Drosophila melanogaster: one gene and its partner. The protein of the gene in region 1 interacts with the protein of each later gene in a pairwise test. Each region holds a gene or a part of one and is shown in the gene's direction. Other genes may lie near its edges.

Region 1 (4,150 bases):
ATAAAAAATAAAATTATCTAAAGTCAAAAGTAGCAGAATGTATAAAGTAAACAAAACGAAAACAAGAACACGAATTTTGTATTTTTAAAATCAATGTTTAAAAATATTAAGAAGCGCTTGCAGTCAGGCAATAAGAGCGAGAGAGCTAGAGAGAGTGCCCAGGAAAGAGACGGGGCTAAATTTAAAATTTTAAGATCGCGCTGCCTGCTTTACTTTCAGTTTATATCTTACAATTACACCACAAACAAACAAAAAAACACCCACAAAAAAAGTATAAAAAAATTTATAAAAACTTTGCTAAAAAAAAATTATATGTTTGATGTTTGCTTTCAATGATGCACAAAACCGAATTTCTTTGCCCTTCAGCGAATCGCGCTGAAGTTCACTACATTTTTGGCGGATATGCAAAGTAGTCTTCAGTTTTTTCCACCGATTTCTCATACTCTTGGGAAACCCCATGGATGCTGGGCCGAAATAACCAAGTCCGAAGTGCGTCACCACTTCATCGGAGATGGATCACGATCCGCAAATCGAGGCCTTCATTGCAACATCTTTAGCATCCGCGCTAATTGTCAAAGCAATGAATAATGAAAGTTCAGTTATCTGTATATATATGGCATATATACACATCCTCAGGGTGATTTCCAGATATGAATTGTAGATGTGGGCAGCTCGCCGTTTTGACCATCAATAAGTGAGTTAAGGCCGCGTTCGACATGTGGGTCTGTTGCTCTCTTGGCCAAATGGACTTTCTTGTAAACTGAACTCGAATTGAATTTCCATTTCTCCTCGCTCTTCTCGCGACGTTGGCCATAAAATAGTTATTAAATCGTTAAGTGGTGTGTTAAATTACCCACTTAAAGCGCCAGTCATTATTTACATAATTTACATTATGGTATATGGAAGCTGGCAGATATGTTCATCTTATGAAAAAAAAAGAAAGAGTCATTTCGAGTTTAAAAAAAAAAACTTTTGTTTTTAGCTTTTAAAAAGAAATATATAGAGAACGGTTGATATTTTAAAAGCTGTTATCTTTAAGATAGAAGTTGAAATATGAATGATTATTCCATGTTTATATTGCCCGGGGAGGAACTAGAAAATCGCCTAAGTTACTTTCTTAGTTAACCGCATTCAGAAAGTCATTCCTCACAAGTCGAAGAACACCCAAATGAACATGGCACATCCAGCACACCAAACTCCATTTCATTCAAGTTTAAGCCAGCAGTTTTCGCTTCAATTGACAGCCGCGTCAATTACCTAAGTCTGGGCCAATTTGGTTGGAGTGCAAACAAACAGTGGGTCGGACCGGGCCGGTCCACAAAAGCGGCGAGCGGAGCAGTAGAGATGCCGATGAAAAGCCCAATGACTTACATTTGCCCACCACAGCCAAGCGAAGGAGAAAGTGAAATTTTGCATTTCTCGGCGGCCGGCAGCAACAACAATGGGTCTTCGGTCTGGTTGGGTCTGGTCTTGGCCATTGCCATTGGCATGGTATTGAAGCGGTGCGACGGTAGCAGGGAAGAGGGGAAGGAAGAGGCGATCAGCGAGCGGAGCGGACCAGGCCCAAAGTCAAGCGCAGAGCTTCAGTCGTGGTTTTCAGCTCGACCCAAGCGAACGGACGTCTTTGAACAGCGGACGCGGCATAAACCGCACGGAAAACGCAACGAAATCGAAAGTGTTCACCACGCGACTGGAATCGCCAAGTGCTTAGCGAGGCGGGGGCAATATACCCATCCGTAAACATTACGTGTCACCATGCCGCCGGCTGGTCAACAACTCCGGCTTACGGCCCTTGTTTATCTGGCATTAGGTATTGCACTCTTATGCAATGGCAGCGATGGTGAAACTAGGCAAAAATACGCCAATGAATCACTCGCGGACGCAGACGATCCATCTCCAGTTTGGTCGCAATTTCTCGAAGATTACGTCTTGAGGTATGGTTACAGGAGGCTAGGCTAGGGCAACACACTCATCCAGATCTTCCCACGCGTCTGTCTTACATATAGCCAAGGCAGCAGTAGCAGCGGCAGCCAGCGAAAGTCCAAAGACCTGCCTTATATGGGCGCGGACATGGGCATCAATGGACCGCTCAGCTATCACTCGTCCGCCTACAAGCGACCCGGCAACAATATCTACATCACCAGGAGAATTGGCGAGGCGGTGGAACTAGAGCCGCATCTGCGAAAGCCCGTGGAGAGCCAGAGTCCCATTGTGAATCCTCAGTTCCGACCCATGACCAATCAAATGTTGCACCAGCAACACCAACAGATGCAGCAACAACAGCAACAGCAACAGTTGCAGCAACGCCAGCAACCGGGTTTCCTGCAGCAGCTCTTTGGCATAGGTGGCAGTGGTGGTGGTGGTGGTAGCGGTACCCAGCAACAGCAACATGTGCGACCAGTGCCGCTGCAACAGCAGCAAGTGCAACAGATAGCGCAGCAACACCCGCAACAGCAACATCTTGTGGGCGGTCAGCCGACCACATTCCGAGCTGTCTCCGAAAATGATCTTTATCTCTTGGGAGCCATTGAAAAGTTGGTGTATCGAGTGGGTAAGTTGAAGTCACACCTAGGAGTTCTTGGTCTAAGTAAAAGCAAACACCCATAGATTACCTGGAGAGTCGCGTGCGGCGCTCGGAGCAGCTGATCTACTATCTGATGGCCGGAAACAATCAGAAGGAGGTGAAGGATCCCTGTCCCGCGAACTTCACGCGCATCAGCGACAACTGCTACTACATCAACAGCCAGCAGCAGGTGAACTGGAAGACGGCAAACTCTGCCTGCAAGGGTCTAAACTCCCACCTGGCCGAGTTCGAGAAGGTCTCGGAGAATGAGGAGATCATGGCCTATCTGCTGAATCAGCCGACGCATCGTGGTCGCGATTACTGGCTGGGCGGTCTCAATCCTGGCCTCCTCTGGATCTGGTCCAATTCGGCTAAGCCGGTGAATCCCAACATGAATCTCACATCCATTGCGATGGCCCAGAAGGGGGAGAACTCGACGGCCGCCAATCTGGTGGACAGTTCGGAGCAGGCGGCAGAGGAGGCGACCGGCGAGGATGTGCTGAACAACACGGTGCAAATAGAGGGCAAGGGTCGCTGCCTACGGCTAAGTTACAATGCCGGAAAGCACAGCTATGTGTACTACGGACAGGAGTGCACCTCGCGGCACTACTACATCTGCGAGCACGAGGACAAGACGCTGGACAACAAGATCAAGAAGATCACCCGCGAGCTGAAGCTGTTCGAGTGAGGATGGGATGCAACCCATTCCGATCCTCATGTGATACTTCAAGTTACCTAGCCATATATCGCATAATTTCAAATGAATTTATTCTTGTGTTACACATTAAATATTTATAAATATTTATACAATTAATAAACATACCGGATAGTTTTCAAAACGTTTTTAAGGATACTTTGTTCTTGCACAGCGAAGCTTAAAGGATTCTTTTTTTTTCTCCAACGAAAATACAAAAGAGAATATTAAACAAAATCGATACTGGAACTGGGTTCCGTTTGCGTTAAGCGGAAGGTATACACAGAGATCAACGCTAATCCGGATACAGGTAGTCCTGCAGGATGTTCTGGAAGGCTATCTTTATCTTGCCGCGATCACGGCCGTTCAGCTTTTGGATGTCGGGCAGCAGGCTCATCAGAAACATGGCATCCGGATCGGTCTTGCAGTCGCACAGCTCCGCACCGCCGTTGGACACGGATCCGCCGGACGCGTTGTTGGCTTCCAAACGCAGAGGAAGCGCTGACGGCGGCACCTGTGGATGTCCTCCATGCATATGGTTGTGCCCATGCCGTTGACTCAAGTAGCTACTGCTACTGCTGGCACTAACACTACTACTGGGCGCCATCGGGGTGGCCACGGCCGCAGTGGATGGTGTGGGCAGTTCCGCTTCGGATAAGCCAGCAGTTCCTGGAACACCTCCTCCTCCTCCGCCTCCGGCGTGCGTTGTAGTGCTAACCAAATCCACGGGCTTGCTGAAAGTAGGTCGCACAAACGAAATGTTTGGATGGGCAGTCGGCTGTGCGGAGTAGTTGACCCCGGCCACTGCTGCAGTTGGAGCTTGGAGTTCCTGGGAACGCGGACGAATAGCGCCACGCATCTCGTCATGGTAGGTGCGCATTTGGAGGCGACCC
Region 2 (8,290 bases), on another chromosome or scaffold:
ATAGAATAAAACCATTTTTTACGTTCGGTGGACAGCGGCTGGTCGTTTATCCTGCTGCACCAGTTTTTAGCGAGTTCTACAATATTTGGCAAAATATTTGGTTTCCCATCCATGAGAGTCCAGATATTTCACCAAATCGTGCAAACATCAATTAGGCTGGGGTACCTACCACAGTTTGTTAGACGTCGGAAGAGGTAGCGCAATCGAAAAACGTTAGCTAAACTGTCACTCAATCTCAGCGTTTAGGTTGATAACTTGATAACTGTCAATGGGGTTTAATTAAAGCTGTAACGACTTGATTGTACCCGCATGACAACAAAAATAAAGCGGCCGAAAAATCCAAAAACAAACGCGTGAGTCAATTGCACATTTCACTCGCCAACGCCCGACAAGTATGCTACAAATATTTGCTCAGCGATACGGATATGCGTAACGGAAAGATATGCGGGCCAAATAGTGTTCTGAAAACCGAATCCTCGAAAGAAGATTACACGGAAAACTAATTTAGTAAATGATAAGGTCCGCTGAGTTTTCATGTGTATAATGATTTTTGGGTAATGATTTATTTTATTTATTTTTACAAATAAATGTATATGATGATATATATTAATTTCATTATAACTTCATAAGAAATATATTTATATATGACATATCAGGCTCTGTTTCCCGGAACACCAACCACAAATTTCAGAGTAATTAGCTGCGCTAATTTGTTTATCATTTTGTTTGGCACGTCGGCACATGGCGAGATTGCATGTGCCAAACCAGAAGGGCGTGACGCATTTGGATGAATCGGTGGCCATTTGGGTGGGTGGACTTCGGACTGATGCAACTTAAGTCGCACAATCCGCTTGCCATAAGGAGCGTAAAGTATGAAGAAGTGGAGGAGAGCGAACGAAATAAATAAAGACGACTATAAATAGCAGGTTCTGGCCAAAAATATGACTTTTGCCGCGCTACATGAGGAAGCCTCCATCCAGTGACACTTTCCCCTGCCCGCGAGCACTTAAACTTTTCAGCGGGCTATTATTGGTTTTCTCTGCGTAAGTGTCATCTTCTGTTGCCCCAGGCGATTTTCAAGAAAACCCTATATATGCTTATTTTCCCGGCCCGCCTTTTAGGCCAAAACAACACACAGTCACACACACATACATACACACACTCAAAACAATAACGAAAACATCGAAGGATCGTTTGGATTGCCCTCCATTACTAACGGCAATTTCACATTAAAGTGTCATCATTTTCAAGGCCTGCGGGCTGCGACGGTTGTTGACATCCGACTGGATGGATGTCCAGACCCTTCGATTCCTCCTCTGCGATTGCCGTGTTCCTTTTGGATTTGCAGTTCAACTGGGAGTCGGACGGAAAGGATGGACTATTGGCCGAGGCCATTGCCGTTTAAGTTTAGGCAGCAAATGTTTTAAATATACACATTAGCTATAAATATAAAATTTGATTATTTTTTAATAAACGCCAATAGAAGGTAAAAAAAAAACAGACATCAAACCCTTTCGAATTAAATTTTATGAGTTTACCACATTTAAATAGATTTTTTATCTTTTTCCAGTATTTATCAGCCTGACTGATAGGCTATATCATCATCGATCTATAAATATAATCGTTGCCTAATTCATAAGTGCAGCAATATGACAATACCATTTTGCACTGGAATATGACAATGCAATTACATTTAGGCGATTCGCTGGAAATTTTCAAATACATTTCCAAACTACCGGCCTGCAGGGATTTCCGCAGCGTCATGCTTGGCAGGTCCTTTGAGGAACTTTGAGACCTCCCACAGAAAGGCGAGATTCCGAGAAACGAGTGACCCGGACTATTCAGAATACGTTTCCGTAAACAGGGCCGTCAACAAAGGCTTCTATCCACCCCAACCCGCAGATAATTTATCACCTTGCCACGTGACGTCTTTTCGCGACTTGTTGTCTACTTTGCGGCGCATATCGTGATCCTGCTGAATAATTGCCACCGACATTATTCATTCGCGAATATCGCGCTAAACTTTTTAAATGTCCCCAAAATATTTCATTGATAAAAACGGCCGTGGCTTCGTTTTCCAAGGAGGAGTGGCCAGTAAAAGCTTGTTTGAAGCTTTTACGCAATTTTTGGCGCCTTTACATCGGCTCGTTGAAATCGACGCACTCGTCATCGGCCGACGATGGCAACGAATCGGTTTCAACTTCGGATGCGGCCTTATAAAAGGAAGCGGCTCCGCGAGTCAACCACGCAGTGTTCAACAAGTAGTAGGTGCAACAGTTGACAGTATTCCGATTCTGATTCCGATTCAGTAACTCAAACGGTTTCCAGGAATATATTTTAAAGTGAGTGTTAACGGTGTATTTCGAATATCAGTCACGCCAAACTCTTTAAGAAGTTTCCAAAAAATATCTTGTGGTCTGTGTTTAATTTAAGCCAGTCGATTTCATAAAAAGGATAACTAAACGTGACGTGAAATCTTAGTAATGCCGTCGCTTTCGTCATCGATTACAGTGTCGTCAATGAAACTCGAAATACGCGCCTAAAAAAATAAATAACAATTTGTGGACATATATTAAATATGCCAAATAAGAACAGGAGAACTCTTATATTTAAAACTATTAAGTGAATTCGTTCTTAATAATACAGAAATATTTTTAAGGCAAAGAAAAGCCAGCTAAAACTTAATTCATTAATTCAGTACTTTTTCTTTGGTAAATTATTTTAATCTGCTCTTATATTTTGAATTGTATCAGAAGATATTTAACACAAAACTACCTTTGGCTTAAAACTGAAAATTACCATAAAGATAGAGCCTAGCCATTGTAAGTTCTCTTCAAAAATAAAAGTAAAATTTTCTTATTTTATTTCACCAACGCTTTTTACAAGAAAACCCCATTTATATGATTAATTTTATATATTATACTAATCTTGTAAATGTTTAACTACAATAATTTATTTTTATTAATTTATTAAAGTTCAAGCTTTTTAAGCACAGAGCATCACAGCTGAACTAGTTAAATTTAAAAATTCATTTCATTGCACTGGTGAGCTTACAAATTTTGGGAAAATTGGTTTTAAGGTTACTCGGGACAGCAATCCATAAATACTTTATCAATGTCAATAACTCAAGGAATTCCCACCAATGCCAAACACAAATGTCAATAAACCAATGAAAATCTAGGAGAAACAAATAGAAAAAAGCATCAATATTTGTTGTCCCCGACCTCGTTCTCTGTTTCAAACCCCTTAAGTTCCACGTGCAAAAATTCCTGACAATCGTATAGAAATTTAAAAAAAAAAACTGAATCAATCGAAAGCATTCCAAAGCTGTTTTCATGTCACAAAAATTCAGCATCCCACAGGATTTTCTCCTGGAGAATGTATTTACTGAAATTGGTTGTGCTATTTCTTTAGACATAGCAACTGAAAAGTATATCTAGAGGTATTGACTTACATTCCGCAGGCTATACTTTTCATTAAAGATTAGTACACGATTTTGTAGTTGGCGAGGATTTAAAACTGCAAAAAAAATACTTATGAATTTCATGGAATTTTCTTGGCTAGCACCCTTTTTTTGATTTTTCGTAGCAATCATTGCCGTCTGTCTGGTCCTTTGGTTTGGCTCAAACACTTTGTGTAACCTTTTGTGTGCAAATTTTGACAAGTATCCCAGATGGTCGGATTCAATAAGTAGAAAAGTTATGTAATATCCTACCCAGGATTGTTACGCACGTAGACCGTGTCTAATTGGCCGGACTCCGGCGACAAAATGTCCGATGCACTTGACCAACTCCACATCCTTAGCCCTAATTAAGCAGTTTTTCCGCCACACATGTCCAGGTGGTACGTAGGCGAATATAGTGGCAGATAAGGCCTATGAAAATTCCTTTGGGTTCGTGTGCGTTTCGGTTACACTTCAACTCAATTTAGCAATTAGCTGTGCGGTTATTGCGAAAAGGAAAACAGGCGACGGGTAAAAATGAACGTACAATTATATATGGGTTCCTGAAACTTCCCTCGCTTCCAAGTTAATTTCATTTTACCTTGGGGACATCGCCAACCAGGGTGAATTCCCTTCTTTTGCTTTTTTTTTCCTATTTTTTGTTTTTTGGGCTCTGTCCACTTTTTGACACTGTGTCAACAAGTTAATTAAGGCATTTTAACAACGATTCGTGTTTGCTTTGTTTACTTATAATTCGTTCTCTCCGCAGCAATTTCGAATAAGTTGTGCTTTCCCAAAAATAACGCCAAAGTGTCGCCCACTTAAGTGAGTGCCAATAAAAGAGGAGTAATTGAAAAAGTTTTCTTGCAGGAAATGCCCGAAGAAATTGCAATTTATTTCCAAAATTAATACCAAAAAAAAACAGGAAAATCGCAATGCACTTAAAGACCTAAATCTACGAGAGAACATTGTTCGCAAATATTTTGACAAAGTTGCAAATTTTCAATTGAATTTAATCAAAACGTGACGAAAAGTGAAAAGAAAATCATCCACAGAGAATTTCTCTTTCTCCGAGCAATTTTAATGAACCAAATGCAACCGTCTTTATTTTTTTGAGAGGGCGTGACAGAGTTGATTTGCTTGATTGATTTATGTGGTTAACTAACCATATAAATTGAGCTAATTTCAATGTATTTATCTGTGAGGTAGAACAGATTTTCTGGAAAATATTTTAATAAAGATTAATATTATTAAATTATAGAATTATGTAATAAATTATAATTCCTTAAAAAAACAGACGCTTAAACTTTCGCAGCAAACAGCGCTTTAATTATTTACCAAGCCCTTAATTAAATAATGAACTTTGGATTTCTTGGTGAAAATTTTCACACTTTTTTGTCGAAATTTGTCTTAGGCATACATTATTTTCAGTTGCTTGGGCAGACAAATTAAGCCGATCCTAGACATCTCAACCAGCGAGACCGCAAGTGCCAAAAGTTTCAGGCAACTCATTTATATTGCTCGTCAAGCGAATGTTTTTTAAACGCAAAAAAATGCGATAAGGTTGGCGGGTTTCCCCAAAACCCCAACAACCAGGCTCCTGAGCTAAATGGGCTAAAAATACGCTGCGAAGGAGTTAAGCCCACTCGCTCACTTCGGCGACGTCCCATCCTTAATTAAATGAAACGACAAAGCGCACAGAGTGGGCCCAGTATGAACCGCGATGCAGTACCTGACATAAAAAATATTTATAAAAGCACACAAACACCTACTGCACAGTGGTGGAAATCTATGCGAAAAGTAATAGCATTCTTATCAATTTTAATTAGAAACATCTTTCGTTAAAATCTACAAGAATTATAGAGTAGCTTTCATTTGTCTATAAATAAATGGGATGTTAAAAATTAGGCAGTACTTTTTAATATTCGAATATTAATATAAATATATTATTTTTCTGATAGTTGAATTGTGTAATTTCTACTTTATAAACAACATACTGCATCCGTCTTTGTTATTAACTATTTGTCTGCAAAGTACACAACCTTTATATTTTTACCCAATTTTTAAATAACGGCCTTAGTTAGTGGAAAAGGAGTAGAATTTGTTTGCCCGTATGGCCCACGGTTCTTCGCGCGAAGAAAGATTAAGCAGGAGCGCAAAACAAAAGCCCCAGAATCAGCCGCCAAGTTATCCAAGAGACGCCCTTTTGACGTTTGGCACCCACCGCCCATTTCTCCAGTTTCCCTCGCGATTCTCCTACTTTTGGCGGGGGTTTCTTGGTTGCTTGCGTGTTTATCTGAGTATTGTTTGCTTGAGCACAAAGAGACGCCCACACGCACGGCATAATGGGGCGGATGGGGTAGGTATCCATCCCATGGCCGTGGTAGTGACGGTAATTACCCTCTTGTACAAACATCTACGCTTTTTTTTTTTTTGCCTTCCAGAGACATCCACATCGCCAACGACCCGCGCACTAATCCCGAGCTCATCCGCAGAGGCTGTATGAACATGAAGCCCGACATCCTAGCGCTCTGCATCCTGGCTACCACGATCCTGTGCAGCAGGACGCGTCACGTCGCCGGCTTCCTGACTGCACAGTCCACCGCCAGCGGAGGAGCAGGCGGAGCAAACGGTGCCAAAGTGGGTGACCATCAGGGCGTGGCGTCCGTACCACAACGTCTTCATTTGCCCGTTCTAGCGGTCGGGGGCGGACCCGTTCGCCAAGGACCCGCTCTGCCCGGCGATGTCCTGGATGCCCAGGAACGAGCTGTTTACGATCCCGGCGATGGTGAGTCATAAACATCCCTATTACCGCTTTCCTTGCCATGGTAAACTTCCCGGGCATCAGCTAATCCCCAGTCGAATTAAAAGGATAGCAACTGCATCCAAAGACCATTTCAATTAAATTGTTATCGGGTTCTTTTTGAATGCGAAGACGTAATCGTGGTCAAGGTGAATCCTATAACCAAGCTATTCCATCGCCCTATAAAAATATATAGACCTTATTTATATTAGCCAAATTAATAGGCATTCTGATCCATAAAGCTGAGGAACTGGAACTGAATCTGTTCAGGAACTTTAATAAATGAACTAGTTATTTTGTTGTCATTTAGCTATTTTTCTAAAATATTTTCAATATTTAATGGCAGTTATGGCCTCCTATTTACTCCTCACCTGAGTACATGATTACGTTCAAAATTTTTGCTTGCCGACTTTTAGGCGACCCATTCGAAAGGGGTGGACCAAGAGTTAGGGTGACCCATGGCGTGCACTTAGCCGTAACCGTCGCCCACCATCTCTATCCCTAATGGCCATGGTGACCACCGCTCGCTGAACATTTTCGGTCAGTGCACAATTTTTCAAGTGCCTCACATTGTTGACCATCGCACAATATGTGGAGCATGTGTTTGTTTGTGCTGAGCACTTAAAACGCCCACCAAACTGCCCGGGATAGATTTTCAAATTTGTTGACGAATTTGATTCGACGTTTGCGTTTTACGTTGCTACCACCTACCTTCTACCAACCGGCAATAAAATGTCATATCCGATTTTCAATAAGCGAACTTGTTTTCCAAGCGATTTGATAGATGGGTAAATGGATTGGAAATTTAACGAATATCGATTTGGTTTGAGTTGGTAACATTTGAATTTTTGGACATGATCTTATAAACATACATATATGAAACAAAAATTTAAATTTATTTCTGTTTCTGATCTCGAAACTATTTATTTCAATTGAGGAGTCCTTAAATTTAAAACTGTAAATGCTTTGGGTTCATGAGCGTCCGCTGTCTGCGGCTCTTTGAAGAGACATCGAGTGGACAGTGATGGGCAGACTGGATGCCAAATGCGACAAAAGGCAGTCAAGGAGTTGCAGTGCCTGTTGACTTGACTGACGGACGTGGTCGAAAAGCCGAGAAGGCTTCCCCTGCCGCGGAGGGGAAAAGGAATGCTGTGGCCATAAACTCATTGCCGCCAGTCAATTTCCGCCAGTCCATTGAAACGACCGAAGAGCCGGGGGAAAACATATTCCAGCCAACCAGGACAGACAGACAAACAAACTATTCAAACTTTCAAATATCAAACGGCGGAAGTTTCCGATGGCAAGGAGCAGGAGTCGGGGAATTAAGTGGGAGTGGGAGTGGAAGTGGGAATGGGAATGGCAATGGCGTGGTTGTGGTCGGATTAGCGACAGCTTGAATAAACATTCAAATCGCAAATAAGGTCTTTGGCTTGCTCATTTCACGGCAGAATTACTCCGCGCCCAGGAGCTCGGATTGGCAGTGGTTCCTCAAGGTCCCGACTACGCGGATGCGGTGTACAACGAACTCGAGCTGGCCAGCAAGTTCGAGGTGCTCAAGAAGATGGAGGAGGATTTGCGTGCCGAGCAGGAGCTGGTGGACAAATCCGCTTTGCTCATGAAAATGCTGGAGGTGAGTGCGAAGACAGGCTGTCGAAATTTCGATGAAAATGTTGAAAAATACACGGTAAATTAAATTTTTTTAAAATATTAAACATAAACATCAAAACATATTAGCTTTTGCTTATAAATAACTTTTTGAGTAATGCATACTTAAGTGATAATATTTTTAATTTTTATTAAAATTTTAACACAATTTTTTGATCTATGTGCATTTTTTCGCTCAGGATCCCTCATTGGAAACCTTGCCCTTGGTCTACGTGGAGGAGGAGGAGCCGGAGGCTGTGATTCCTTCCGGCGGAGCCGAGGACTACGCCGACTTGGAGAACGCCGTTCAGGATTTGGTTTTGGGCCAGAGCAAATCCAAGCGTTCGCGCTACTATCGAAGGTATCCATGGAAGCGTCACAACAAGAATCGCGGGTAGGTT

The links.
Region 2: the proteins of CG14866 (region 1) and CG7191 interact in a two-hybrid assay, tested with the Drosophila melanogaster proteins (one large-scale study listed by BioGRID).

What each region holds. Positions count from the first base shown.
Region 1 is NT_033777.3:15,314,888-15,319,037, forward strand, and holds CG14866 (uncharacterized protein), read left to right. Parts: upstream 1-1,583; 5' UTR 1,584-1,755; coding exon 1,756-1,934; exon of another isoform or gene 1,935-2,006; coding exon 2,007-2,551; intron 2,552-2,607; coding exon 2,608-3,251; 3' UTR 3,252-3,398; downstream 3,399-4,150. Other genes in the region: CG6276 (uncharacterized protein), read right to left, coding at 3,553-4,150.
Region 2 is NT_033779.5:7,765,376-7,773,665, forward strand, and holds the start of CG7191 (uncharacterized protein), read left to right. Parts: upstream 1-2,252; 5' UTR 2,253-2,342; intron 2,343-5,886; 5' UTR 5,887-5,944; coding exon 5,945-6,230; intron 6,231-7,693; coding exon 7,694-7,875; intron 7,876-8,089; coding exon 8,090-8,283; intron 8,284-8,290.